Lonchura striata: one gene and its partners. The protein of the gene in region 4 interacts with the protein of the main gene of each other region in a pairwise test. Links are inferred from orthologs where the notes say so. Each region holds a gene or a part of one and is shown on either strand. Other genes may lie near its edges. The genes, in order: FTH1, RIC8A, MTUS2 and SDCBP.

Evidence for each region.
Region 1: the proteins of SDCBP (region 4) and FTH1 interact in a two-hybrid assay, tested with the Homo sapiens proteins (2 studies listed by BioGRID and IntAct). The two-hybrid records come from large-scale screens. The link is inferred for Lonchura striata from reciprocal best matches to the Homo sapiens genes SDCBP and FTH1.
Region 2: the proteins of SDCBP (region 4) and RIC8A interact in binary tests that used the Homo sapiens proteins (3 or more experiments, as listed by UniProt). The link is inferred for Lonchura striata from reciprocal best matches to the Homo sapiens genes SDCBP and RIC8A.
Region 3: the proteins of SDCBP (region 4) and MTUS2 interact in binary tests that used the Homo sapiens proteins (3 or more experiments, as listed by UniProt). The two-hybrid records come from large-scale screens. The link is inferred for Lonchura striata from reciprocal best matches to the Homo sapiens genes SDCBP and MTUS2.

Annotation. Positions count from the first base shown.
Region 1 is NC_134608.1:54,089,736-54,097,693, reverse strand, and holds the start of FTH1 (ferritin heavy chain), read right to left. Parts: upstream 3,012-7,958; 5' UTR 2,865-3,011; coding exon 2,754-2,864; intron 1,417-2,753; coding exon 1,270-1,416; intron 827-1,269; coding exon 701-826; intron 1-700. UniProt on the Homo sapiens protein: Stores iron in a soluble, non-toxic, readily available form. Important for iron homeostasis. Has ferroxidase activity. Iron is taken up in the ferrous form and deposited as ferric hydroxides after oxidation. Also plays a role in delivery of iron to cells.
Region 2 is NC_134608.1:53,231,488-53,239,073, reverse strand, and holds the start of RIC8A (chaperone Ric-8A), read right to left. Parts: upstream 3,007-7,586; 5' UTR 2,920-3,006; intron 1,550-2,919; 5' UTR 1,459-1,549; coding exon 1,375-1,458; intron 1-1,374. Other genes in the region: BET1L (BET1-like protein), read left to right, coding at 3,097-3,115, 3,781-3,872, 4,551-4,607, 4,826-4,993; VPS51 (vacuolar protein sorting-associated protein 51 homolog), read left to right, coding at 6,934-7,146.
Region 3 is NC_134604.1:68,699,020-68,706,186, forward strand, and holds the start of MTUS2 (microtubule-associated tumor suppressor candidate 2), read right to left. Parts: upstream 3,017-7,167; 5' UTR 2,948-3,016; intron 1-2,947. UniProt on the Homo sapiens protein: Binds microtubules. Together with MAPRE1 may target the microtubule depolymerase KIF2C to the plus-end of microtubules. May regulate the dynamics of microtubules at their growing distal tip.
Region 4 is NC_134603.1:38,160,880-38,168,321, forward strand, and holds the start of SDCBP (syntenin-1), read right to left. Parts: upstream 3,003-7,442; 5' UTR 2,847-3,002; intron 1-2,846. UniProt on the Homo sapiens protein: Multifunctional adapter protein involved in diverse array of functions including trafficking of transmembrane proteins, neuro and immunomodulation, exosome biogenesis, and tumorigenesis.

The DNA of each region.
Region 1 (7,958 bases), on a different chromosome or scaffold from region 4:
AGCTGAGAGGAAGCAGCCTCTAGTTTTGCTGCAGAACAAGATCGAAGTCAGCCAGGCTTAGGTAGGCTCACATGCTCCAGAACCCTGTAGAGCCAGGCAGCTCAGGAAGCCTCTCCTCTTCCTCACAGCAGGAAGCATTAGCCAAGCCCCTGAACAGATCAGAGACACCCCCACTGCACAGCAAACTCACAGCAGTGGGGATTTATACCACTGGTTTTGTTTCAGAAAGTCCCTCTAACTTGGGCAGGACATTCCCAAGAGTGCTTGGACTTTCACACATATTAATCTCTTCCTGATATTAAGCAACCTCAATCCATCCTTGCCAAAAACTTCCATCTACAAAGAACTCCATGTTTTCAGATACTGTTCTGAAACACCAGGGCTTTTAATATTCTAAACCAACTCTGGAATTTTGTGGCAAAAAAAACCTTGTGACAAAAAGCCTTAAAAAGATGGAACTCAACCCCCTCAGAAATGGTCTCCATAGAGACTGTTCACAGACACCACAGAAGGAATAAAGCAGGTCCCTGTCACTTTAAAAATGCTCCTGGAAGGACAGCAGTAACTCCACCAAAGGACTCTGGAAGGGCTGCAACCCTGGTTCACACCTTTTTTCACCTTTAGCAACACCAGGCACACACAGCTCAGCCCCAAAGCTGCATCCTTGGCCAGCCATGCTGGACCCCCAGCATGCACTTACATGTGGGTCGTTCTTCTCAGTTGCCAATTTGTGCAGCTCTAGCAGTGATTGGTTCACGTTTTTCTCCAGGTGCAGGGCACACTCCATGGCAGTCAGGCCATTCTCCCAGTCATCACGGTCTGGCTTCTGCAAGGGGAAAGCACAGGCAATGCTTTCTGTAAGAACCCACAGACCAGCAGGGTGCAGAGCTTTAGATCACTCTCAAAGCCTGTTTAGATCAAGTTTAGGCATTTATGCAAAGTCAAAAGTTTGAAGAGCACCCTCAGAACAGAACTGATCAAACCCTTGAAGTCCCACTTCTCAAAACAGTGCATAGAGCACATCTGCTCTGTGTTAAATTTAACGATGGCGATGAACCAGTTGCCTTCTGGTTCTGCCCTCATCCCACAGCAAACAACAAGGGGCTCAGCACCCTCTCCTTACACTTTTTGATTAGTCAATCAGCACATATAATCAAATTGCTCCACATCTCAAACTGCTGTGCCTCCCCAGTGTCAGCTGCTGCTCCTTCTGGGGAGGACCCAGAGGAAAATTCATCCCCTCCCAGCTGGGGCCAGCCCCGAGCTCACCTTGACATCCTGCAAGAAGATGCGCCCACCCCTCTGGTTCTGCAGCTTCATCAGCTTCTCAGCATGTTCCCGCTCCTCGTGGGACTGGTGCAGGAAGTACTTGGCAAAGTTTTTCAGGGCCACATCATCCCGGTCAAAATAGTAGGACTGAAAAATAAAGAGTTTACAGGCTCTAAACCTCTGCTCCAGTCCAAGGCCAGGCCAGAAAGGCAGTGTGGAACAACTCTCCCCGAAGTATCATTCGATTTTTCCAGTTAGCATTAAATTTTAACCTGTACCTCTACCAAGGGCACAAATAAATGGTGTTTGTGTCCTTGGCTCAGCTCTAAAAACACAAAAGAACCCTGAACCTCCACAGACACCTGTTCTGAGCACCATTAAACAGCGGCCTTGAAAGGCCTTTTTCAAGGAGAAATCTTCCCTTTGTTTGCCTGAGCTTGTTTACAATGATCACATTGCAAGTCAGGGTCATGACTTGCAACATCAGGTAAGGGTGAGCCAAGAACTTTAGGTACTCCTGCAATAAAACTCTTGCTTCACTAGGCTTTCCAGGGATTAGAATAAGGAATACACTTTCTACTTTTTTTGCAGGAGGGAAAAAAAGTCGCATTTAAAATACAAGAGATAAATTGAGCTACAATATGAATTCAACTGCAACTAAAATATGAATTAAATTACTTTTCTGAAAACAAAGAAAACCGCCCTGTAACAGCAGTCAAAAGCCGTGACACAGCTTGTTTATTCCTTGGTTAGAGCCATTACCAGGATTCAATGCAAAGTTCTGTATGAACTGCCAATTATTTACCGACCTACTCCAGAACTCTGCTCTTAGACCAGCGGCCTGGAGGCTCGAGGCAAAACACCGGTGCTTGTGTACCACTGCCACCCACCAAAAGAAGCTCAAAAAAGGGCTCAGAACCAAACTAACACAGAAGAGAACCTATAAAATACATGCCACAACTCAGCACAGTGCCACTGGGAAGTCTCAATGTCCCAGCACGCCCAAAGCCCCAGGATTGCTGCACAGAGGTCAGGGAACAGCTATAACAGGCGCCTCGGGCCATAGGAGACGTGTAAACACAGGGCCCGAGAAAACCACAGATTCCTACCGATTCCTGGAGGAAAACCCGAGCCTGGGAGGCAAGCACGCCTGCGGGAAAGGCGCCAGGAGCCTCGTTAGGCACCTCCCGCTACCCAGCCCGGCCCCAAGGGCAGAGGCGCTGAGCGCGGCTGATAACGGAGCCGCCAAGGGCAACGGCCCCGCGGAGCAGGCGAGATAAAAGGACCTCACCTACACCCAGGGGACGGCCCAGACGGGCCTGGAGGCAGCGGGGGGAGGAGGAGGTGGAGAAAAAGGAGGAGGAGGAGCTGGGCCCGCAGGCACCGCCCGGCGCCCAGGAACCCCCCGCCGAGCAAGGCCCTCATGCAGCCCCTTTATCTCACGTAGGACCCTTCCCTCACGCCGCCGCGCCCGCGGCTCTCACCATGCTGAGGTACACGTAGGACGCGTAGAGCTCCAGGTTGATCTGGCGGTTGACGGCGGCTTCGCAGTCCTGGTGGTAGTTCTGGCGCACCTGAGACGGGGGCGCTGCCATGGCTGGGGTGCTCCGGTGACTGTGCAGACGGCGGTGTGAGGGAGGGGTGGCGGCGGGCCCGAGCGCGGCCGGTTCCGTCCAAGCACTGTTGACGCAGGAACCCGCTTCGCTCCGCCGCCGACGCGCTGTGAGGGCAGCCCGCCCGCCGCCGCGCCTTTTATACGGCCGCGAGCCAGGCCACGCCCCCGCGGGGGCGCGCGGCGTCCCGGCGCGCCTCTGCTGGCCCGGCGTGACTCAGCACCCGCCCAGGCCACGCCCACCGCGGGGCGGGGCCGCCGCGCGCCGCCGTTTCCCGCCGCGCGCCGCCGTTTCCCGCCGCGCGCGCGCGCCGTCCGTCCCGGAATGGCCGGCGCTGGGAAACCCCCGGAAAATCACCAAATCCGGCCATTCCCCCTCCGCCACGCTGCCGAGCCCGCCCGTGTCCCACATCTCCCTCCCTCCGCGCACGGGGGCTCCGCCGCTGCCCCGGGCGGTGGGTGCCAATGCCTGAGCGCCCTCTCCGTGAGAGGGAAAAAGTTCCCAAAGTCCAATTTAAAGCCAGAAATTAAGGCCAAATGTCAAAAGCCGAACGTGTTGGTAATGGGATGACTATTTCAGCTGCTTTTAGTGCTGTCCCAGTCACTCAGTGTGTGCCATCATTTATTCTCAATAAACATCAGGTTCTTCAGTCATTCAGTTCAGTCATTAATTTTCAATAAGCACTGAAGTCTTAGTATCTGCTTTCTTAAATTTTAACCAGATTACAAGGGACTAGAAAATGCTTAAACTGAGATCATCCCATAGCACTGAATCCCCAGTCTTGGCTTTTCCCAAGCCCACATTTAACCCTGTTTTTTCCCAAGCCAATGTTCCTGCTGAAATCCACCAGAAATAGAATTTACTCAACCTGTAAACTCAGAATAAATAATTTTTCCTCTACCTACTGCGCCTACAAACTCAGATTAATTATTTTTTCCTATATGTACTCAGACCATAAACTCAGATTAAATAATTGTTTTTCTCTCACCAGTTTTTTTACACATTTTTATCCGGTCTTTGACCCTTCCCAGCACTGTGGGATGTCCCATGCGTGACTGCACCAGTGCCTGTTTGTGGGTAAAGGGTACCAGAGCATTTTTCCAGACACTCCAAATGCCCTGGAGGGAACAGGGAGCCTCGGCCTCCCTTTGTTTCAGGGTTTTCTGCTGCTCCTGTCGGTTAACCATCACAAGTAATTAAGATCTATAAGTTAACATGGGTCATACCTATGCTTCAGCAGGCTGCCAGGTACATTTCAAATCTCCTGTTCTCCTCCCACATAAATGCTTATGTAAAAAAAAAAACAAAAAAAAAAACAAACAAAAAAAAAAAAAAAAAAAAAAAAAAAAAAAAAAAAAACAAAGACTAGCTGCTGGGCAGACTCTTTCTTAAATTTTTTTTTCTTTATTTCTGCATTCACAGTGGAGTGTCTTCACAACAGGAACATCAAACAAGATCCATATTTGCAAAGTTTGTAACGGGAATATTTCCTCTGCAGCTCGGACAGTCTGTGCCACTCATGATCACACGTCGGTAGGATTAGGGAAGTCCCAAATTCTGCTTTCTGGAGTTGCACAATGCACATTGTGTTTGATGACAGCAGATTTACATGGTCAAGAGAGGAAACACGGGGTTGCACAGCCATGGGGGTCATGTCTTGGTAACCAAGGTGAAGAATTCACCAGTAATTCAGTTCAGCCATTCCCACATCTTTCCTGTCCCAAATTACTGTTTTAATTTTGACTCCAGTTCATATTGTTTCCTCATGGCTCTGTTTAGGCCTTCTTTTATCTTGTGCTGCTCTTGGTGAAAATGCATTTATAATGAAATCCCTGAATGATTTGGGCTGGAAGGGACCTTAAACATCATCCTGTTCCACCCTTGCAAAGGCCACATGACCTTCCACTATCCCAGGTTGCTCCAAGCCCCGTCCAGCCTGGCCTTGGACACTTCCATGGATCCAGGGGCAGCCAGAGCCTCCCTGGGAAAGCTGTGCCAGGGCCTCTCCACCCTCGCAGGGTAAAATTCCCTCCTAAATGTGAAAATCACTTGATGGAAAGCCCAGCCTGAGTAAGGTGATGCTTTTAGCAGGCTTCTTCCCAAGAATGCCTGTAAAGCTCTCTAGAAAAAAAATTCTTTACTGCTTAGGGAGAAATTCTTTCCTTATTTTAGTACTTTTTACCCCTCAACATTCCCAGCTGCCCAGGGCCTGCCCCATCCTCTCGGCAGCGGCGGTGTGTGGATTTTGAATTCATGTCCCTCTCAGCTGCTTTCTTGGGCTGAAGTAGAGGCATGTTCATGCTGCCCACATGCAAAAACAATGTATTGTCTGCCTACACAAGCTTCAAATTGTTGAAGACAATCCCTGTTTTTCCTTGGATGATATCCCACCAGGAACAATGGAGCAAGCTCTCTTGTTGTTTACAGCTTCGCTACTTTACACAGGGCACAGACCCCAAAATCCACCCATTTAGGGATAGTGAAGCTGAGTTTTAAGCATGCAAAAATAATCAGAGCTTCTTTGGTGAGTGTCTGCACATGATACAGAAAGTTATTAGGTCAGAGATCAAGATATACCCAAAGGAAAAGTTTCCGTGCCTCCTACTCCCTCTTTAGTATCATTTAACCTGACTCCACCCGTGCCCTTCTCGTGCATGACCTTTCCAAAGGGGTAGAAAACAGGACTCCTAAACAAATACTGGGCAGTATTTGCCCAAAGTAAATCTTGATACAGTCCCTGAGCAAAAGCCTTGGCATGTGGCTTAGGCATCCAGTTAGACTTCAGGGAGAGGGCTGCCTTGGTGTGAGCAGACAGCCAGAATGCCCAGGAATGCATAAATTTCATTTCTCACCTGTAGAAATTGTTTACCTCTAGCTTTAAAACACTTGATTTTGCCGTGCTGGTTTAATGGTCTTAATAATAACAAATCCCAGTTAAAAATCAACAACTGTTCCAATTCCAGTGAGCAAGAAAGTGCTGAATATGCCTCAAATGTTAAATCCACAAAAATACAGTAACTTTTTTTTTTTTTTTTTTTTCCAAAGCTCAAAGTCTTGTAAATAAGATAAACTGCATCCAGTCAAATATTTGTTATGGAGAGCTTCCACTCCATCCACAAACTTCAGTGTCATTCAGCTTCCAGGCTTTATGCAAACACAAAAGCAACTCTAAACTTGGCTCCGAGGTTGATCATGCGTCTGGAAATTTGACACTGGTCTCAACTGTGAGTTTTGAAAGCTGTTTACTGAAAACATCTGGGCTCCACTCGCTCTGGGAGTTTAACTGAAAACTCCTTCTTGTCGCTCCTTGGGTAAAACACTCGGTGAAACCTTTTCAGTTTGTTTCTTTTAGGTGCCTGAATTTTTCCAAATGGGAAACCTGGGATTTAGGCAACAAGTTTTCACTGGGTACTTACAGCACAGAATGCAAATGCCTGGGGTACACAGAGCTGCTGGCTCCTGGAAACACTCTCCAAAGGGAGACAGACAAAGGATGTTGGAAGTTATGGAGGGAAATTTGCTTTGGAGACTGAAAATGAAGCTGTTTTTTATGCAGGAAAAAAGTCCAAACACAGAATAATCTGCAGCTTTGTACTACACGATTTTATAGACAAGGAGTATAAAACCCTCTTTAGACAGACAAACTTCTTCTAAGTTGTGAATAGGATTTTTTTCTCTCTGGAGTATTTTTACAGCAGTCTAAACAAAATGCTGTAGGAGATTGCAATTCTCTGATTTGCCCAGAACACCCTTTCTTTAATTTATTTTTATTTCTTTTACAAGCCTTGTAAAAATACACTTAGAGCCAAGAGAGTGAGGAAGAACAATGTTAATAATATAGTAATTCTGTCAGTACAGCCAGAAGAAGGATCTGGTTTGGAATTTACTTGGATGATTTATCCCTTTTTAAACTAGTTTTCAGACTGACTCCTCTATCTGTGAGGGGAAAACTCCATCCCAGATTCCAAAGGCAGCCTATGGCCCAGGTGCATGTACAGGAGCTTTCACAACACGGATTTGCCAAGCTGCAAAAGCCACAATAAGTTTGATGTTGACATTCCACCACAGGCCACAATCCACAACATTTGCTCTACTGTAATGATCCTCCCATGGTGCCATCCACCTTTATTTTCCCCTCTCCCAGATTCACAGTGTTAAAAACAAGGGGGTGGGGATCATCCCTGTCCCCTGTTTCGGTTGTATTGAACTTTTTCTTCAAATACTGTACAAAAATTGCAAATAGACCACACATCTAAAGTCAACAAATATGGGGAAATTTCTCAACACACCACAAAAATCACCTCCTTCTGAGCATGAATTCCCCTGGAAAACACTGGTGGGTGTTGAAGCCCTCATGGATGACCAGGCAGTTTTAATTCTAGACACAAGGGTGAAATGTACTTTTTTTTTAAAGAAGTTTTACTTGGGAATCAAAGAGACAAACAGGTTTGTCCCCCCTGAGGCCATCAGGTAATTTTGTAAGGATGCACAAAGTTGTTCCTTGGATTTAGTGCAGCACTGAGTTTGAGCAGACACTAAATCCCTCAGAGGAGGCTGCTTTTATACTCAGCCACCCAAAAAAGGGACGAGCAGCAAATGCTTTCAAGCATAAGGAGAAGAAACAAGCTTTTACAAGGAGCTGGCAGTTAAAGGACATGCAACAGCCTGATAAAACACCACAAAAACAAGCAGTGGCCCATGGCTGATCTCTGTTGGGCAGGATGGGTGGGGGACACCCCCAAACTGCTGAGCAGGTCTCTCCAGGAACTCATTCCATAGCTTATTCAGAAGTGAAGGGATTCAGCTGATATAGAGGGATGTTCTCAGCAGAAGGAGAGTTTTGTCTGGGAAAAGCTTATTCCTGCTGTGCTGTGCTGGGAGGGGACACTGAATACACTCCTGTGGTTCATGCAGAGGTGCAGCCACAATTCCACAGGGTCCACACCCACATCCACCTTTCCTGCTGGGTACAACTTCCTCCTAAGCCACGTTCAGGCCCTTGGCACTGAAGTAAAAATACTGAAAAGCAGCTCAGGGGGCTCAAGTTGTGCCTACAGAAGTTGTGCTGCTTGTGGA
Region 2 (7,586 bases), on a different chromosome or scaffold from region 4:
GCCGTGTTCCACAAGCAGGCTGCTTGTTCCCTCAGCACATCCTCTTTTCAGGCTGTAATCCCATTTGGGGGTATTTTGGCCACACCTGGGGTTTTGCTTTAGCTGTAGCATATTCCCAGCAAGCAAAAACTGCATGCACAACAGTGAATTAAAAACAAATCCAGAGGAAAAGCGTACAGAACCATTAGTCTTGCAGCAGAAGCAATGCCAGGCAGTGCCAGGTTTATCTGCAGATTCATAATCCTCTTTGACTGCTCCATTTCCTCCAGACAGGCCAGCAAACCCTGTGGCTGCAGTTCCCTAGGCTCAATACCCCAGGAAGGACCCAGCTGGGGGACTCCAACAGGAAATATCATGGTTTGGGGGCACACAGACACTGTTTGCACCTGCTGCTGGTGCTGTTAATCCTTAGTGCTGTCCTTAACAGACACCTGCTCCTTCTTGGCCAATATCTCCCCGTTCCAAATCTGACTGTTAGGAATAGCTCCACACACTCCCTCTCTCACACACTCTTGCAAAATATTCCTCAGGTTTTCCCTGCTGGCTTCCACCTACTCCAGCCTGGTGCAGAGTGAGTCAGAGTGATCCACAGGGCCAGCCCCTCTCAGGGGAAACCTCCGAGTTTCTCTGACAACTAGAGTCTGTTTCAAACAGGATTTCACAGAGCCATAGAATATCCTGAGCTGTAAGGAACCCACACAATCCATTCAGTCCAGCTCCTGGCTCTGCCCAGACACCACAACAATCCTACCCTGTGTCTGAGAGCACTGTCCAAATGCTCCTGGAGCTCTGGCAGCCTTGGGGCTGTGCCCATTCCCTGGGGAGCCTGTTCAGTGCCCAAACATCCTCTGGGGGAAGAACTTTTTCCTAATATAAAACCTAAACATCTCCAGCTGTTCCCTTGGGTCCTGTTACTGCTCAGAGAGCAGACACTGGAGCTGCCCCTCCACTGCCCCTCAGGAGGAAGATGTAAATGGCTGAGGTCTCCCCTCAGTCTCCTTTCTCCAAGCAGAGATTTACCACCACGGATTATCTTTTCCTACTTTAAGGCTAGAAACACTTCCATCTCTGCTTCCAGATCATTGGGGTTTGATATTCTACATTCTACATTCATTATTTACTGCTTTCAGAGCCATGCCCATATGAGATCCCAGCAGTTACCTCCAATCATCTTTTGACTTGCAAATCCCAACATCGTTTCACCTGCAGCCCCTCCCTGGATTCTCTCAGCACCTCCAAAACTACCTTAACATAAAAGCTCCTCCTACTCAGTCCTCACCCTGACTCTTATTTCCAGGCCAGGCTTTACTTGGGATCTTGATAATCATTTTTTTAGGAGTTCCTGAGATGAGGGAAGCGTTGATGCTCACTCACCTCTTGGTTGTAGACCTGGAGCACCTTGAGAACCGTGTCCTGCTCCCCACTTTCCAGCGTGGACACCACAGCCTGGAGCTCCATTATCCCAACAGCTCAGCTATGGCACAGCCCCAGAAGAAGAGGAGCAAGGGGATTTCCAGGGTGATGGAAAAGCAGCTCGGCACACAGACCTCTGAGAGGGAAGAGAGAAAGGGGTGGAGAGAGCAAGGAGGGAAAAAACACAACACAAAAAAATCCCAAGTGATATTGCTCACACTGCTGCATCCATAAAAGTGGAGCAGATGGATAACCCGAGCAAAGCCAGCAGCCAACTTCCTCTCTCTCTCTCCTGCTAATCCTCTTCTTCCTCGCTTTGCTTTTCAATGTTTAATATATGCCCTCGCAGGAAAGCACTCAGGGAAAACCTTCCCCCCACCAGCTGGAGATTAACGTGGAGCAGATAACAGCAGCTCCCTGAAATAGCTCCCTGCCTCCTCCTCCTCCTCCTCCTCCTCCTCCCCGCCTGCCCTGATTTCTGCTGCCGCACAGGGGGAAAATAACAAATAAAGCACGAAACATTGCCGCGGAGTGACAAGGGACGGAGCGGCGAGGCAGCCAGGCGGGAGAGCATCCTCCGGCTGCAGGCGGTGGGAAGCAGAGCAGGAGGGTTTGGTGGCGGGCTGGATCATGGCCGATCCCTGCAGGCCACCGCCGGGCGAGGATGTCCCTGCCGACAGTGCCAGCCAGCAGATGCGCAGCACCGCGGGATTATTTCGGACACGGCACCGGTTTAGCGGCTCACGGAGCCACGCGAGCCCAGGGCGCTGGGACATGATTCCCATGGGGGGAAATCCAGCAGATTTGAGCTCGGACATGTGTTCGGCTTCCGTGTTGCCATGAGGATGAGGCTGAGCTGGTCACACCAACCTCAACAAACCGGGATCCCAGGCACAGGGTTCCCGGGGTTTGGGAATCACACGGGCTGTCCCCTCCTGCCCACGCAGCCCCAGAGGGGCGTTTTGGGGGGACCAAAAGAGGCAGATCCTGCATTTTGGAAGGCGGACAGTTGCGGAGACAGGAGGCTGGGCTGGCCCGGGGCAGCATCCCCATGTGCAGGGGCTGGGATGGAGGGGATCCACCTCTGCTTTTGGAGGGATGACATTAACCAACGGATCATTGGGCATATCCCCATTTCCATACTCCTACTGCCACCTCCTTCCCTCACCATCTGAGTAAATTCCAAACCTCCTTTTTTGTCCCCATAACCCCGTTTATATCCCTAAACCCCTACCTTCCCCCCCAAACCTCTATTTTTGTCCCAAGCCCCTATTTCCCCCCAAACCTCTATTTTTATCCCAAGCTCCTATTTTCCCCTTAAACCTCTATTTCCCCACCCCCAAAACCCCTGATTATTTCCCCAAAACTTCTTTTTGCCCCCAGACCCCTATTCTAGTCCCCAAAGCCCTATATTTGTCCCCAACCCCCCGGTTTTTGCCCGCAAGGCGCTGTTTCCTCCCCCAGCCCCTGTCCCGCCGCTGTGCCCGGGCAGGGCGCCGGCCGTACCTGCGGCCCGGGATCCCTCGGGAGGGAATTCCAGCCCTTCCGCCCCGGCCCGGGCGAGCGGCCCGAGGGTCCCGGCGCCGGGGGGCAGGAGGAGGAGGAGGAGGAGGAGGAGGAGGAAGAGCGGGCGGACATTTCGTGGCGGCTCCGCCCGGCGGGGCGGGACGGGCCGGGGCAGCCATGGCGGAGCGGGGCCGAGGTGAGGGGACGAGGGACAGCGACAGGTTTGGGGGGCAGAAGGGGCTGGAGCGGCTCGGAGGGAGGAGGAACTCCCGATCCCACTGAACCCCGCGGGGCGTTTTGCAGTGCCCCGATTTCTCCCCCTATAGCCCGGGAATAACACCCCACCCCCCCCACCGCGTAAGCCCTAATTGCCTCCCTGTGCCTTTTTTGGGGTTCTGGGCTGCCCCCCCGAGCCCCTAATTGCTCCCTCTATCCATTAATTGTCCCCATGAATCCCTAAGCCCCCCCCCCCCATAAACCCTAAATACCTCTTAGAGCCCCCATAGCCCCTAATTGCCCCAGAACTCCTAATCCCCCCCAGCCCCAACCTGCCCCACAATGGGGGCAATGCCGAGAGACCCCAGCACGGCCGAGGGGCAGAGGGCCCCGGGTTTCACCCAAATCTCACCCCTGGATGTCACTGGCCATGGAACCCCCACAGCTGCTGCTGGGCTGGGGTGGCACTTCAGATACCCTGAATTCTGGCTTCTCACCCTGGCCTGTTTGGGGGAAGTCTGTGGTGTTTTGGTCACATTTTCAGAAGGTTCCACTGCACAAAGCATGTGTGGAGGGGCTGTGGTGGGAACAGAGCTGTGCTGTGGCACGGCAGGCATGATGTGTGCTCCTCGTTCTTCTCCCCAGGGCAGAGCCCGAGCGCCATGGAGGACCTGCTGGATGTGGAGAACAAGCGGATGGCCGACAGCCTGGCCAGCAAGGTCACCAGGCTGAAGTCGGTGAGTGCCGAGGTCACAGCAGGTGTTGAGGTGAAGGACAGGCTCTGATTACCTGGGAGTCCTGCAGGGGATCACAGAACCATGGAAAGGTTTGGGTTGGACAGGACCTTAAGGCTCATCCAGTCCCACCCCTTCCCATGGACAGGAACACTTTCCACTAGACCAGGTTGCTCCAAGCCCTGCCTAACCTGAACACAGGAGTGTTGCTAAGCTCACATCCTTGGGGAAAAATTAATGGAAAAAAGGCAGGCAGATTAATTTTGGAAAATACCTGTGTCTCTGTGTAACTGTTCTTAATGCTGGTTTGCTCCTATTAACATCAAACACTTTGATTTAGAGCTTTAAGCTCTAAATTATTATTAAAAGTGTAGTACAAACCATGAAAGAAGTTGATGACTCACTGTGTAAAAGGGCAAGCTGAATTCCTGCCATTGTGTCCCAGGGTTTAAACTACCTTCTCTAGCTGGCAGATTTAGACAGCCAGGCTTTATTTTCAGAGCTGAAAAAGTTCACCTGACAGGGAAATGCCATTTTCCTTGTTCCTGCACCAGACAAGCCCCTGTGTGTCTGTTGGAGCTGGGAAAGCAGCAGCTTGTTTTAATAATTTGCATTTCAGATTTTAGAGGTTCTCTGGACATTAAAAGCTCATTAATGCCCATTTCCTGCCTTGCCCTGCAGCTGGCTCTGGATATTGACAAGGATGCTGAGGAACAGAACCGCTACCTGGATGGCATGGTAAGGACCTGGCAAACGGGACACGGGGCTTTCTGTGCAAATCAGGGAATTGGGATGAGAGGTGGGACGGCAAAAGCCCTTAAGGAAGAAGCCCTAAATCAGCACTGGGATTGTTGGGGTGTCCTGTGCTGTTGGAGCTGGACTGGCTCATTGTGAGTCCCTACAACTTGGGAAGTTCTATGATCCTGCAATGCCTCCAAGGTGTCTCCTCCCACCAGGACTCGGATTTCCTGAGCGTGACAGGGCTGCTGACGGGCAGCGTGAAGCGCTTCTCCGGCATGGCGCGCTCCGGCCGCGACAACCGCCGCCTGCTCCTCACCGTGTCCGCGGTGCTCGTCCTCATCTTCTTCATCCTCTACTACCTGGTGTCCCGGGCGGGGACCTGAGCCCGGGCTGGCAGGTGGCACAGGCCAGACCTCACCATCCACAGACCTGGCCACATGTTTTCCAGAGGAGCCTCCAGCCACACCTCCACCTTCCCAGTGACTTCTCCTTCCAGCTTGTCAGCGCTCCGGCTGGGCCCAGGCAGCTCTTCCAAAACAAGTTTGGCTCCAAAGGGATCTTCGTGTCTGTCAGGATTTTGGGGTCATGGCTCTGGCCGTGACCTCCTGCCTTGTCTCCATCCCGTGGGCTGTTTCTAAGGGCCACTTCCACATGACCTCCCTCGATCAAAACCAGGAACTAACAAATCCAGGGACTTGTGGATACTCCATAACCCAGCTGAGCTTTGCGAGCTGTAGGATTTAGGATGCTGACTTAGGGGATTTGGGAGTACCAATGTGTGACTTACATTCCGTGTGGCCACTCTCCATTTCCCTTGGACTTGCAGACCATATCCCTGGGCTGAAAGGAAACTGTGAAAGGAAACTTGTGCATTGCTAATCCGGGTGGAATTAGCAATGGATCTGGGCCTGGATACTCTCACATTGTAGCAGGGAAGAGATGCAGGAGAGCGGGACTTTCATTAAATCCTGGCTTGGTTGTCTTTATCATCCTTGTGGGCAAACCAGGCTGGACCCTCTGGGAAGGGAGGGCCACAGTCCATAACCACATGGATTTGCACTTGTGTGGAACCTTCCAGAACCTTCCCACACATGTGCAAATTAAGTTACTAAATCAGGGTAAAGAATACCGGTGGCAGAAGGTCCAGTTAACTGTGGTTAACGTGGCATCCTGCTTTTAGAGCACTTTGGGGAGATGTAGTGCCAATAAAGTGAGGTGGAACTCCCCCCGCAGTGCTCTTGGGAGTGGGGGGATCCAAGGAGGGATTTGCTGTTTTGTTTATGCATTTAGAGAGTACAAAAGGAACCCCTGCTTTACCTTGGAGGGTGTGTTTGCTTATTTGCTTCTCTTTTCCTGTAACAGGCAGGGCTCAGCCATTCCTTCTCCTCTGATTTAGACTCTCCAGCAAACCCTCTTCATGGATGGATGGCTGGGTGTTCCTTTGCTTTCTCCCTGTTCCCAGTGGGAATTCCTTTGCCCTTGGGCTAACTCGGGCCCATAGGTATGAAGAGAATGTTGTCCCATGTACCAAACTGCTCACAAAACACACCCTGGCTGGATTATGTGTTCTCTTTTCCACATTTGGGAGAAAACGTGCAGGAAAGGCAAGGACAAAAGAGGCAGCAGGAGCTTCCTCTGGCTCTTCCTGCTTTCCTGGTGCAACGTGGCAGGTCTGGGCTCTTTCCTTTGGGAAGAATCAACGGCCTGTGATTCCTGGAGCAGGTGACTCCCAACAAAAGGCCCCTGGAGCAGCCTGGCCTTCACCGTGGCAGGGTTTATTTTGCCTTTTCTGCTGTAAATAAAGCTGATTTTAGACCTTTTAGCCCAGATGTTTGTTCCTTGTGCGAGGTGCAAGGTCGATCACCTGGTTTTACCTGCAGCCTCACAGCCCAATTCCAGCGTCACCTGGAGCCACCCTCGGGTAGGGTGGGGGTCCCCAGGACCTCACCCGGTGTGAGGGGAGAGGAGCACGAGGAGGCACTGGGGCCTCGCGGGACACTGGGGAGGCCTGCGGACAGGTGGAGAGTGGTGAAAAGGGACAGTGAGAGACATGGGCCCGGGGTTAAGGGTGCCAGCGGCCGCTCAGCCCTCGAGGGTCGGTGTCTCCACCCATGTCTGCGTCCGAATGAGGATTCTTGTCGCCGTGGGGCAGCATGACACGGGCCGCGCCGGCCCCGTCCCCGTGGCAGCCGCCCCAGGCCCCGGGATCTGGGCTCCGCCATGTCCGGCGCCGCTTCCCCGTCGCTATGGCAACCCGGCGTCTCACCGGAAGTGACGTAATGGACAGGCCGGAAGTGGCTGCCGGGGCGGAAGCGGCGGCGCGATGGCGGCCGTGACGACGGGGAGCGGGGCCGGGAGCGGGGCCGCAGGCAGCCCCGAGGCCACCGGCGGGAGCACCGGGGGCGGGGGGTGGCGGCGTCCCCACGGGCCGCTGCAGCGCTACTATGGCCCGTCCACTGCCGAGGCGGCCGAGGCGCCCCCGGACCCCACCGACATCAACGGGCCCCACTTCGACCCGGAGGTGTTCATGAACAAGGTGGGCATGGAGAACAAGGGTATGAAAAAGGAGACTCCTCCCGCGGGCACCGCCACCTTGGAGAGGGCTCCGGGACTCCGATGGGCCTCGGGATGTCCCCGCGGGGCCGCGTCACGAGGGATCTCGGTGGGTGGGGGAGGACCGCGGGGTCCCCACAACCGTCGCGCACCCAGGATCCTGAAGAGATCCCAGAAAGGGCTGTCTCGAGCACCTTATGGATGTGTTTCTTTATTTCCTGATTCCCACAGAGTGGGAATGGTACTGAGGTGTTCCACAGCAGCTGGATGAGGCAGTTAGCACGGCACAGGGGGGAGCCCTGGAGGGCGGGGGAGGCTCCTGGAGAGCACTTCCATATCCCGGGAGAATCCAGGGGAGACAGTCAGGGATCCTGCAGGGCAGCTGAGGGGCCCAGACTGACTATGGAGGGCAGTCGATCTCAA
Region 3 (7,167 bases), on a different chromosome or scaffold from region 4:
TTTCAGCATTTGTTGAACTCTGGAGATCTTTCTGGTCACCTTAGATGAAGCACTGAATCTTATCCTCTTTCCAGTTCTCCACTGGAAAACCCAGAATAGCAAGATGATACCATATAATAGCAAAGGGCAGAACAACAACCAAATCAGGTTTCCAGAGAATTCAGCATCAAATGTATACCCAGCAACAGAAAACAACAGCATTCCCAAGTTCACAAGGATGCTTCTTATATTAGGATAGTGCCAAAGCTGTACAAAAATCCATCTGAATTATTTTCCTAAAGAAAAACTATTTCATCAGTTTTGAGTCTGCAGTAAAAAAAGTTCAGGGAAGAACAAACCACCATACACTGAAGTTTTGCTCTCCTTTGCTACTTTCTTTCCAATTTCTGCTGCTTATGACTTCTTTGACAAAACTGACTGCAGCAGGTTTGGTAATAGTTGCATTTAAACAAGGTCAGTATAATTATAAATAACTTCTGATAAAATGCAGTACTTGTCAAGTGAAAGCATTTGCTAAATCAGCTGGCTCAATAGTCTTTTTAGTAAGCCTCAGCATCTGGACAGGGGAGGAGGAGGAGCAGAGATCCTCTTGCACTGCTTGCTGCTGGCATTTCAGCAAATATCTTCACCCAGATATCCATTATTATGCCTAGATCTTTTCTTCTATAGAGCCTTCAATCAAATGTTAAACCAACTACTGTGTATGAGTCTCTATTGTATTGTATTATTTAACTTTTTCTGCCATTGTGTGACTTTCCAGAGAGTGCATATGTAAGTGGAGTTGGCTGTAACTCTGTCCTACACTGACTTCTGGTACTTCCTGAATGAATTTCAGAAACAGAGAACACACACTGCAAGATGAAAATCTTTGTTCTCCTAACTTAGGAGAGAGGACTGATTCTCACTGGTTACCAGGTTGCCAGCACAGCCTCTAATGTGCTTTACAGCTGCACTTCTGCTGTTAGCTCACCTCTCCTATCTTCCTAAATAGCTAATATTGCTTACTATAACATAAATGTATTTTACATAAAAATACACACTCCAGAAAGTAAGGCTATGAGTTTAAAGTTGCTTTCCTACTTGTTACAGTTGCTATCACTAAAACAAAATGTACCACGATAGAAAATGCTACCATAGAGAAAAACTATTTATCTGACCGAACCCTACACTTGCCATTTGTTAGATCAATAGCCTAATATCCACCTCTGTCCTTAAAGTGACAAATATACAGAGAAACACAGTACCATATTAAAAGCTACTGCAAATAAACCACATGGACACAGCCCTACAAACATTTTCCTCTCTCTGTGTCCCATCCGATCATCCCTCCCCTCCCCCCACCCCCCCGTTCCCAGGTAGCAATTTCCAAACTCACAGTGTAGCGCTGAAAGAATTGCTTACAGAATCCCCCTTCTGTACCTTAAAATAGAGCTGATTCTCCAGAAATTAAGGCGAGGCTAGGCACCATGGAATGAGACATTAACCCTCATTTGCACACACGCAGCTCTCTCCTACCGCTCTCCGGCAGCACAGGCTGCGCTGCTCTCCACAACAGATTGCATAAATAGGAGACAAGTAGCTGGGTATATTTAATTGCATTGGAAACAGGCAGACCTAGTAAAGGGTTTATGTAGCATGGGATACAGAAAAGCCTACAACCCTGCTTGAAATTGGGGATGAGAAACAATAAAACCCACAAACACTGCACTGGATGTAGGGAGCATAAAACAATCCCTGAATGAAATCACACACGAACCAAAACAAAGCATTTACACGAACCAAAACAAAGCATTTATGCATCACATTACATCCAGCTCATCGGCTGCCAAGTGCCTCCTTAATGCAGTCATCCGTTGCAAAGTTAACCTGCATGCAAACACTTGACATGCAAATGATTTTGCTACCGATGCTTTATAAGCAAATATTTCTAATGCTTGACCCGCAGAGAGGTGTTTATATTTTTTTACCTTTGCAGTTTTTAATGCAACTATAAATGTCAAGGCTTATTCTTTTCATGTTTAGTGCAATGTTAGGGATCATTGGCTCCCTAACACAGGTACCTGTACGGGCTGGTGCGACGGCACACAAGCCTCCTCTGCACTGTTACCTTCGGGAGGCAGCGATGGGGACCGGGGAGAAAGAAGCAGGGGCAAAGATAGAGAAGGGGATAAAGCAAAGAGGGAAAGGGTACCCGTACTCATTTAAACAGAGTTGGAAACGACCGATCTAGATGAACAGCTCTTCAAGCAGAGGCATTTTACTTGAGTAGGAAGACCTGAATTCGCTGCCCTATCTTCCCACGTTTAGCTTTCCCTCCTTAGGAAAACGCTGCTTTTTATTCGTAGTAGCTACTTTACCTTCCATCATTTTTCGGAAAAATATTGTGATGCTGTTATATGCCACGCACGAGGCTGAGAGTAATAGCAGCATTTCAGCCCTGCGCTCCCGTGGGCTGCCGGCATTGCCCTGAGCCCTCCGCTGGCCCGTGCCGAAGGCTCGGCCGTGCCCCGGGGTCCCCAGCCCTCCCGGGACCCTGCTTCCCTCGGCACTGTCGCCCCGCTGGCACGCTGCTGGCGTGCAGCCGGCAATTGCGATCCGCGCACGGAGAGCGAAGCCCGCTCGAGCCAGTCCGGCTATTGGCATCCCTAGAACTTTTGTCTGAACAGATTTCATCACAAATATTATCCACCCTGATAAGCAAGCTGCGCTTGCTCCCCCATCTCCTGCCCGCACCAGGGGTACAGGAGCAGCCACCAGCCCCGCCGCGCCCCGTCCGCGCAGGAGCTATCCCCATCTCCCGGAGCTTTTGCCCATGTCCCGTTCCCGGCGCCCCGGGGGCGGTGAGCACGGAGCAACCGCAGCCCCGGGGCGATGCGGGGCAGGGAGGGGCGCACACCCACGAGGCGGGAGCGGAGCCGGCGCTGCCCGCGGGACGCGCGGCGCTCACCCGCCTCGGTGCTCCTGCCCCGGTGCCGCCGCCGCTGCCGCGCCGCCGCTGCCGCGCCGGGCGGACGGCGCGGGCCCGGCACGGGCCCGGCTTTTATAGCGGCCAACGCCGCCCCGCAGCGCCCCCTGCGGGCCCGCCCGCGCCCCGCGCCCCGCGCCCCGCGCTCCGCCCGCGCCCGCGGAGACGCGCCGGCAGCGCGGCGCACCGCGCACAGACAGCGCCCGCCGGCGCGGCTGTGGGGCGCGCCTGTGGCTCCCCAGATGTTTTTTATTTCCCAGGTTAGCGCCCTGGAAGCACGTAGGTGGTTGTTATTAGGTTTCCGAATGGGATGTTTGATTTTTGGGGTTTTTTTGGGGGGGAGGTGGGGGAAGAAGGGAAATGTTTAGGGTCAGCGTCTGTGTAATAGTGCCTCTGATGGCATCAGGAAGAAAAGGGACTTGCTCGTGGTATGGCTTTTCTGCTCCTTGCTTGCCTGCCCTCCAGTGCTCCTTGGCTCCGAGTTCATTTCTCTTTCACCCTACAATGAGCAAGAGAATAGAAAAACGAATAAATAAATACTCGACTAGAGACACAATTTTGCTTTTCAACAAAACTTGTAACTCGGAGGGTAATCTCCATCACTTTTACTATGCTTAAACTGCAGCCCGAGGGTTTTACTCCCGTAGCAAAGAGAGCTCTGTGGTACCGGCAGGGAATCTTTATTGTGCGTTTACAGCCTTATCTGCACCTACAGCCCGTGCTACAGCTCTCTCTATGGGCATTGTTACATTCCCGGTGAGCTAGCGCTTATTGTTTCAATCAGCTGTTAAAATCGGCAAGCAGGCACGAGATCAGATGGGAGTTTTATCATCTGTGTCTAATGCTGGGCAACTCAATTAATTTTTATGAAGTCCTCTGGGCAAATGCATGAGGATCTGTTCAGGAGGGGGTGATGAAGGGATTCCTGGTTTGCGAGGCCAGCCAGATGATACACAGCATCCTCCTGTCTGGGAGCCCCTGCAGTGATGCCTGGAGACACCGGGAGAATAACCAGGAGCTTACACAGAGCTATGAGACAGAGAGAGCCTAGGAGTCTAGGGAGACATGGAAAGAAATGTCCATTATCTACATAACAGTGCCAGCCTGGCCCTTTGGCAGATGGGATTCAGTACAGTATTGAGGAAAGTCTTCCTTTTCTCAGGGCCTGCCTGGTCAGGCTGGTGTTACAGGCTCACACGGCAGGACAGTCAGTGTCACAGGATATATCCTTATTTCCCAGGCACACAATAACTTTCTTATTTCTGCCTGTGCTCAAACACACTGTGCTTGCATCTGTCTGCAATCTGAAGTGCCAAGTACAATCCCTGTGGCACCATAACGTTGTCTTTTATCCTTAAAGGACCTTCCTTTAAGGTTTGTCTTCCTGCTGAATAAAGCTGTGTTCTTCCCCCACACCACGCTGGACTAAATGCTACGCTTCAGTTACAAAGACAATGAAGATAAAGGATCTTAGCTGGTAAAGTCACTGAGAGCATCTCTCTTGCTGGCACAAAGGAGGACAAACCCTGACAAACCAGGCACTGGCTAGTTTATCTGTAGTGGTTTAGGACATGAACCCTCCTGCCTCCCAGCAAAGCAGGCGGGACAGGAGACATGGCTGCATGGCTGCACCTCAGCTCAAAATTCAGAATATGATTTATGTTCAAGCCCTGAGCTTATGTATGGCTAAAATAAGGAGAGGGGATTCTGAAGAAGTGATTGAAGCCATCCTGTACCTCAGCCACTGATTTTTAGGAAACAGCAGTGCCATTTGTCTTGTCCAAAGGCATTACCATGAAGCCACTGATGACAGGGAATTAGCAGGCTTTCACTGCCTTCTTTTACATCAGTATTTGAAAGGATCCACTGGCTCTATTAAAACAGGGACAATAACAGAGAAAGTCCAAATTAACTCAAAATATTTATCAGTCTGAAAAGATCTATTATATGGAAAAAAACCCAGATACTTGCCAGTTTCAATTTCTTCCCTCAATCATTTTTGCAAACAATCATTGCTCCCCTCTTTTGACTTCTGATCATGGAACTATTGCACTCTAAAAGATAACTCATGCTGTTATCACACCTAATTAAAAGCTACTTAGCTGTAGAATGTAGGCCTCGCTTTATTTTTAGATTTTGTGCAGAACTGAAATTATCTGCTCTAGACAATTCACATAAACTTGTTTTTCTTCAACATTTGGAAGAGAGTTCTCTAGCCTATAGAAAGATTTCTTATGCAGCTCCAACAAGCAGAAGGCATAACAAAAGAATAGCTGTTTATGCTGCAAAGAGTAAAAGAAAATGATGAGAAACTGAAGGGCGGATGGCTTTTATAAATTCAGGCAGAGCAGTTTCAAGCTGAACCCACTTTGTCAATGTGTTTAGGAACAAGCTGCTGCAGCTACAGAGAGGTGGCAGAACAGCCTCACACATAGAGCTGGAAATAGAAGGCAGAGAGGAGGCCCCGGCCCAGGGCAGGGACAGCCTGCCTTGGAGCACACCAGACAGGACATGATGGAACTGGGGAATGGCATAACCACACTCCTTGGCCATGGCTCACCTGGCAAGCGCCCCAGGCCTTCCCTCCCTGTCGTTGAGAGCATGGATGGTTGGCACACTGGAGGCACCTTTTGCTGCACATCCAGGCTTCATCCCTGGTGTTTAAACAAGCACCAGGAAACCTCAGTGGCTCTGATTGTACTGACAGACATCCAGGGAACCAGCTGGATTGGTGATCATCCGTGCTGATTAATTTTAAGTGCGCTGCAAGGCCAATGCCATGTAGCCTGAGCACAGCCTATGGGTGCCATACAGGAGGGATTGTCCCCAGCAAGCAGCAGAGTTGGGACTGCAGTGCTTCCCATTTCCTTCACCCTACACAGTCTGCCAGCTCTGTCACAGGAGGTTTTTCAGCCATAAACTTCATTTATCACCCAACGTCATACAATCCATAGCCTATTTCATGCAATAAAACACCATTCCTGTGGGCTGCTGCACAGCTTTATATGTGCTCAGGCAGCATAGGTTTGGAAGAAAAAAAAAAAAAAAGGAAACATCTCTGCATTAATACCAATGTCTTGGGGCCACAGGGGCACCAGATGGGAGTCTAGGATCAAGCAATGTGCAACATGGATATAGCCAGTCTGTGCCCGTGGCAGCACTTACTGATAAATACAAAGCTAGGGATGCCAGAAAGCTGCACAAGGCTCATTTCTCTCCAGAAATAAGCAAGAGACGCAATCAGTGTTCAGCTTTACAGATTATCTGGGAATGATCAAAGTCAGGGGAAAAAATAGCCTCTCCTCCTATGCTCAGATAAAGCTGCAAAAGCTGCAACATCATATTAAAGGCTATTAGCTCCAGAAGATTTTTTTAAGGGTTTTTGTACCACAGAGGATGCAGCTTGGGTCTGGATGATGAAGGGTCCACAGAGAAGCCCCTGGGCTGCAAGCACTGCTGAGGGCACAGGAGAAGGCACTGGAGCTGCAGCCTGGGGGCACAGATAGGCAGTTCCCTGGTGCCCAGCTCTGACTGGGTAAGATGCATAAACTACTGTCTCCTAGGGGAACTTTTCCTTAACCTTCCAGGTCTACCCTGCACACAGTTTATGAGCAAAATTGCAATTGAAAGTGTGATTTTTATATATCTTTTTGGGTTGTGGTTTTTTGTTGTTGTTGTTGTTTTTAATTTGTTTCAGGATTTTGGTTTTGGTTTTATTTTTGTTTCTGTTTTTTAATTTAGGTAATTGCTGTAGTCATAGCAGCTATTTTTATTTAAATGCCATCTTAAACTTCAGTTACACCGGGTAAAACTCTAGTGCTGATACACTTGTCCCAGTATGAGGCTATCTGATACTAACTTAGGTATCTTCTTGTCTTGAATAGCTATAACAACACAGACACTTTTCCATTAACACAAGTGGTGACTGGGTCACTTAAACTGTTATCAGTGTAGGTAAAGTGGGACAACTCTTGTGTCCCAGTAAACACTGAGAAGCTGGCTCTGTCTATGCTGCTCTTCTCATCAGACTGGCTTGACACAGCCTCCCAAAGAAACATGTACTGTGAAGATGTAGGGGAGCTCTATGTAAATTACACCTAAACCAATTCTCTCATCTGTGAATGCTGTCTGGCTATTTTAATAAGAAATAAATGGCTGCAGTCAGGGCAAACCTATCATGTAAAGCAAACAGTCTTGCCCAG
Region 4 (7,442 bases):
ATGTGATACAGTTTTTCAAGTCACAGAAGGTATTGAGAACATTGTTAATACATAAGTTTTATTAAAGTTTTTGGTTTGGGGATTCATTTTCTCATTGAAAGAAAAGAGGTTCTTCTTAAAGTAGCAATTTAGCAAAAATTTGAGACTGAAAGTGACCATCACATAAATCCCTGAGCTATTGCTTCTTTAAGTGCAGATACAAAGTCCATTTCTAAATGAACACCACACACAAAGATGCATAATGTGATACTGCAGTAACACAATAGATATCTCTTCATATTACACTAAATTCATTAACAGCTTTTATGTTTGTTCAGCAGTGCCCAATAGCTCCAGCATCATGTCAAACTGCAATTAAAACTTAAAAAAAGCATGCTCTAAATGTGCCAGAGATCTAAACTGTAAACACATGGTCTGTTATATTACAATAATTAATTGCCTTGACTTTTTTGATTAACTGTTGCAAGTCTACCAAGCATAGTTAAAGCCTGAAAACTATCAATTAAACACATGCATTTAAGGTCAGTTTGAAGTTCTGTTTTAATCCAGCATCGACCTGAAACTATGAAATGCTTTTGCTCATCCAGAATGGCTAATAGCAAACATAAGCCAAAGCTCTTGGTCAGGTAAGTGGTTCCTGGATCCTCCATTCTGCCACTCACACAAGTCAAGGTACACACAGCATCAAACTCGGCATCTCCTTCTGTGCTACAGCAGCCCTGGTAGATTCAGGTGCTGGTCCCAGCACTGGCACATGTTCAAAGTCAGCACAACCTTGGCAGCGGGCAGCAAAAGAGGGCAGGCCAAGGACAGTGTGTTCCCAAGGAGTCACCCCATGGCAGGGCGACGAGGGATGCAACAGCAGCACTTTGCAGGTGGTGATCCTAGTATCCACAGAGCTCCAGAGATCAGCACAGAGACTGCCAGGTCCCCTGCCCCAGTGACCAACTTCCATAGAGCACCCTGGCCAGCTTTATTTCTCCTCCACAGATCAGTCTCTGCAAACAGTAACTTGTCACAGACAGCGTCAGTCAACCTTCCACCAGTTTATAAAGAGGAGCACAGTGCTTTCTGTAGAAAAGCATTAGCAAAGCTAAACTTATACTACTGTTCAGATTACATTAGAGAACACTCCAGAAGTTTATCCTGCCCCTTGACAACCCCCTCAGCCTCCCCTCCCCAGCAAAGGGTTAACAAACCCAAGTGTTTGTCACCAAGGTTCTGCTGGGGTGGCTCCCCCATCATAAACTCACCAGTTCCTGGTTTTGGTTTTCCAACTAAATTAGCTAGAGTAGCAGTCACCACTGTAATTGCATTCAGTGAGCTCATAACTTTGCATATGGTAACACAGATACCCTATGTTAGATAGTGTGAGAGCCACAAAAATATTATATTTAGTTTAAAAAAGATTTCTAAGTAAAAATTGACACCATCAGGGACCACCCTTAATTGCAGGAAGAACTTGTCCACGACTTCTGTCCAGTGTTCTTCATAGTATAAACATGAATTTCAGCTGGTGCTGTAACGGCTTTAAGCATTAGGGAGTGGATACCACAAATCATGAGTCACTACAACCTCCTCTTCTCTCTTAAAAATCTACACCAACATCAGAATCACTTTCCCCAGTCATTTCCACACTTGCACATACTGTGAGGAGACCAAGCGTTTAGGGACGTAGAAATGAAAACAAAAGGATGGGCATGGGCTGTAACTCAGCTGGCGACCCACAAAACCTGGCAGTAAAGACCTCGCCCCCCTCTCCAGTACACTTGGCTGGAAAGTCGGGCCCTCCTGCCAGCACGTCCCACTAAGGAGATCCTGTTTGCCAGAGGGAAGTACCGGGGCACGGATCGGAGAAGCATGAAAGGCGTCACTCGTGACACCCTGAGCCTGCCAGCAGGAAGTCTCGAAGGTGGGAGTGATCCCGAACTGCTTTCGGTGGCCTTCCTGGGAGGAGACGGCTTCCCGACTCATTCTTCAGGTCGGAAAGTATGAACGCCAACACAGGATGGCCCTGCTAAACCCCAATCTGGCCAGCCTGTAGTGACTGCTGTTTTTTAAAATACCAGCAGCCAAAACTGTGGGAGGGGGCAAACAAACCAAAACAAAACCCCGCCACCCCCCCTCCCCGTATGTTTTCCTCCTGTAGCCCGTGGAAAAAGTACAGCAGGTAACAATGTTGGCAACTATAATGGAACATTGGTTCCCACTTCCAAAAATTAGAAGCTTATGAGCCCCGAAATTCATGTTTAAAGCAGACCGAGGACAACACTTCCCGAAGGTCAGTCAGGCTGAGACATCACGAACCGAGGAGCGGTTTCGTAAGACACGTTCTCCATTAGTAACTCAGCATTCGCCTTCTGATACATATCTAATTAGCCTGGGAGCAAGTGCCCTCATTATGCGCTCAGCTCCGAAACCTGCTGCCTCCATTTCAGCCCTGAAGCAGGGCTGGCCTGCCTGAGAAGGCCCGTGGTGTCACTGCACCGCCGCAGCACCTCTCGGCCCGTCAAAGAGAATTGAGACAAACGCCCGAGCCCGCGGGCGCTGCGGAGCCCCAGCGAGGGCCCAGAAGGCGCTCCAAAGGCGAGGGCCGCGCACGGACGGTCGCACAGGGCGGCCTCATCCCCCTGCTCTCCCCGTCCGGGGCCGGCAGCGCCCCGCGCCCGGCTGAAGCCTTGCCCCGGCCGGCTGCGGGGAGCGGCGGCCCCGCGGCTGGAGCGGCGCCCACACCGCCCTCGCAGCGGCACGGCCGGGCCGCCGGCGCCCCCTCCCCGCCCCGCCATGCCCGCCCGCGGAGCGCACAAAGGGCGGCGGGGAGCGGACCCGCCCGGCCCCTCGCTCACCTCCGGCCCAGCGGGTGCTGGCTGCCGTCCGCCGGGGCTCGCAGCACGGAGAGGGGCGCGGGGGCGGCTCCCCTGGATGCCGCAGCGGCTCCCCCGGATGCCGGCAGCGCCGCTGCGAAGGGAGCGGGGCGGCGCGGAACTGGCCCGGCCCCGCGCATGCCCGGGCGGCGGCGGGGAAGGGGTCGCGGCCGCCCGGGCCGGGTTTGGCTGCCCGCGGCTGCGGGGCGGCGGTGTCCCGCTCCCCTCTGGCCGCTTGTTTCACGAAGAATCTTGGAATCATCAAAGTTGGAAGGGGTCGCGGCCGCCCGGGCCGGGTTTGGCTGCCCGCGGCTGCGGGGCGGCGGTGCCCCGCTCCCCTCTGGCCGCTTGTTTCACGAAGAATCTTGGAATCATCAAAGTTGGAAGAGATCTTCAACATCATCCAGACCATCCGTCTACCTGGCACTATCGCTGTAACCAGTCGACCACATCACCCAGCGCCAGATCCAGACGCCTCTTAACCACCTCCAGGGATGCTGATTCCACCACCTCCCTGAACAACTTGTCAGGAAAACTAATCCACAAACATCAGAGCTTTATGTCCAAAAAGGAGACAGAGGAGTCCATTTACGTTATTCGAATAAAGGGAGAGGTCATGGGACATTCCCCAGGGGTATCTCAAATTTTTGGTTGATGCAGCCTCCTTTTTTATACTATTTTCCCGGCCACATTTCCCTTCTCTCTTTCCCCATTGGCTGAGGTACTTGAGAGGTACAGAGTTCCCGATACGCCTGATACCAAAGATTTCCCTCTAATGTATAACCCTCCCTTTTAATTTTTAATTCTTACGGGATTTAGGGGTTTTTCCCTTTGTTTCTTTCATTTTTCAATGTCTAATTTCATTTATCAGCAAACCTAGAGCTTATTGGTAAAAGCAAATATCCTTTTCCATTCATCAGTCAGTGGAATCCTTCCCATTGTTTTTTTTTTATCTCTCAGTGCTAGTTTTATCTACTAGCAGACCAACAGCTTGTTTGTAAAGACAAATCCACTATTCCTCTCAAACCCATTCCAGTGCCTGACCACTTGTACAGTGAAAAAAAAAAAAAAATATATATATATATATATAAGTGTCTGAGTCTTCCCTGTTTTAGTTTAAGGCCATTTGCTCTGGTCCCCTCACTGCAACGACAGCAGGAGAGATTGGCCTTCACTTCAGCGTAACTTCCAATCATGGAACTGTAGAGAGTGATCAATCTCCCCCTGAGATTTCTTTGTTTTTGTAGGGCCTTAGACTCATTTGTGTGCCTTTATTAGTTGATAGTTGCTGTCCTCATGGAGAAAAAGTATGATTTTCTGCTCATTTTCCTTTTTTTTTTTTCTGCTGTAATAAAGCACACTCCACTAACGGCCTCGTGTCTGCCTTGTTCTGCATGTCTGCCATGGATGGGCAAGCTGTGACACATCAGAGCCAGAGTGGACCACATCACCTGTCCCACGGTCCAGCACCTGCCTGAGCCTTCTCCCACGGGCAGGCATCAGAAGCAGAGCTTTTATCCTGGAGAGGCTTCCCTGCAGAAACCATGATGTAAAGTGTACCAGCAACAGAGAAATCCCAGAACAAGCTCGGAAAGAGGTTTTCATAAATCAATTACCATAATTACCTGCCTTTGCCTTATTTAGAGTATGAACTAATCTAGCATCAATTTTTGGTCTTCCCTTCTTCATTACAATTCTTTGCCTGTTGTCAAATATTGTTCATCACACAGACAATTAAATGTGCTGAGTGCCCTAGAGCTTCTCTTCACCTAGGAAGAGCATTCAGTAGAGGTATTGAGCAGTCTTCCAGCACCTAGGCAGGAGGTCTGCTCCCACCTACGGTTTCTTTCTCCTGCCCTCAGCCAGTTCCAGCAGTTGCTGAGCTCTTCTGAGAGAAAGCTTAACTCATTTCTCCACCAAAAAACATGGATGCTTTTCTGCTGGTTAGTGAGCCATACTGGCAATAAAAGGCTCTCTCAAGCACAAGCATGAGCCAGAGCAAGGGAGTGTGTGCTGGAAACAGGAGAAAGGAGGAAGCAGGAGAAATGGGAATGAGAGGGAAGGTTGTTTTGATCCACTCTGGCACTAACAGGCTTTTTCATCATTTGAGCACAATAATAGCCTTAGTTAAGCTAAACAGAAACTTTGTTACAATGTATATTTTTCTGTTGTTGTTGCAGTGTATTTTCCAGTTCTTGATTCTCTCCAGCTGCCAGCATCTTTGGTGAGCACCACAGGGGCTGGGGTAGTAACTGCAGCAGTGCTGAATACAGAGGAACAGCAACTCTCTGGCTGCTCAGGAGGCTCCTGTTTCTATATCCAATATTCAGCCAGACCTGGAACCTTCCTGAATGCCACTACCTGAACCATTGGCTGCTGAGTCATGCAGCTATGGGTCATTAAATATATGTGAAGTGAAATCTTAGGTTTAGGGTATAAGTTCACAAAAATCCTGTATTACAAGTCTTCTGGGCCAGGAGGAAGGGAGGGAATCTACCTCTAGTTTAATAATGACCAATGATTACGTCTTTAGAAGTGCTAAATTTTCTATGTAGCCAAAGGAGATTTTAACATAAGTGCAGTGAAAGTTTTAAAACTGTGCTCAAAGTGTTCCACTCTTCATCCTGAAATGAGGTCAGTGTAGTAAAGGCCTGGACCCACCCTGAAGAACAAAGACACTGTGGTATTCATGTAGCATGGAAATTGCAGGTGTGTGACTGACAGTTTTCCAGTGCAATCCTGCTGGGTGCCAGTGCTGACAACTGAAGGATAGTGTTTTCTTTTAGTTTGATGTTGAATGCTCCTCTCATTGCAAAGAGCTTTCTTCTCTCTAGAAAGCTAGGTTGTTATTTGCTGTTTTCTGCATTACTTTATCTCTTTGTGGTCTTTCAAGATAGCCTGCTGTAATCCAGGGCAGAGCTTTTTCCAGTGGGTATCTGACTTGCACTGTCAGTGCACCCTCCCTGATCTTACCCATGAGACTGTAATGGATGCTCATTTTCTTTATCATGATGTCCTAGCCCAAATAGTTGGTTCCATGTGGTTTATTACTTTTTGAGCATGCCATGTGTGCCCTATTGCAGGTATATAATCTAAGAGCAAACATGGTCCAAGTTATGGGCAGTAGCTCTGGCACCATGTCCACCTGCAGGACATCCACCTTGGTATCAAAAGTGAATCATCCTCATCTCCCAATGTATTGTGAAACATGATTTCAATAAAGATTTTGAAAAACTGCATAAGGCTGTTTCTTCTTGCTTAAGAACAGCTATTGGGAGAGAGAGTATACTTTTGTACTGAAAAGCTTTCTCAATTTCTCAAAAAAAACAAAGCTTTGTTCATTTAAATATAGGAACAAAACATAATAAACCAGAAAGATAATTGCTGAAAAATGGGTATGTCTAATCTATGCAGTTCAGCATGTCTCAGGGTCCTCATCCTTTAAACACACAGACCAAAGACAATTCCAGCCACTTGTCTAATCTCGTTTCTTTCCCAGGGAAACCAAATTTTGGAAGGGGGTGCCATGTGCCTCAGTCACTCTGTGACATGAACTGAGCACTTGGGGCAAGGGAGATACTTCTGTGTCCTGGAGTTTGGAGGGAAGCAGAAGAAGGGCCAGGCCATGTCTTTCTAAAAACTCCACTGATACTGGGGAGCTCTAAGGAGTCAGAGGAGAATTGCCCAAATAAATGGCTCTAGATTAGTTCCTGAGGTATGTGCATCTATTGTTTGAAAGAAGTGGAACAAATAGCCAAGTTATTAGACTTTGCTTGTTTAAATTAGAATACCTACGGGCAAGTGTGATAGTTTTCCATCATCAGTGTACTCTTTGTGGGTTTTTTGCTGGTCTAGTGCCAACTGTCAAAGAATAACAGAAACCACCCACTGATCAGTATCAGTCTTAGCTGTTGAAAAAATCTTAACAAAATTAATACATAATTATTACTGAAAAATTCACATTTCTCCTTTGAAGCTGAAAACAGGTTGTGCTTTTGTTTGTAAGGAAGGTCTCCACCCATTCCACAATTGGTCACTCAAAACATGTACAAATTGTGCAAGATAGCACCCTGTCAGCACTGGAAACAGAGTAATTGTATTAAGGTGGTTCCATACCTGGGGTACTTAACGGATCCTTCTCTAAGTAAGGTGAAAGGAGTGTCCAAACATGTTTGTATTTCTAGAACAAATTTACCACAAAGCAGCTTAATTAACTGTGGGGCTGCATTGCATCTGAGGTGTACCTCTAGACTTCATGTACCAGAATTTTTATACTTTCCATGTGAAAACAAAATTTTCAGCATGAAACCCAATTATGCAGAAGAGATTACATTACAGGAGTACAGTAATTTACATAATATTAGATACTGCTAGGTAACTTTTTTCCCCATTCCTTGTTCATATGTTTTTGATCTTGCCTTTTAAGGGCATTATAACATTACTTTCATATTATTATTTATTACTTGTAAGAGCATTATAATATAACACCCACAGGGTTGATGGCATTCAGTCAGTGATTTTCCACTGTTCAGTTGGCAGTTCATGCCCAATTTCCTGTCTACTATTCCAACTCCACTC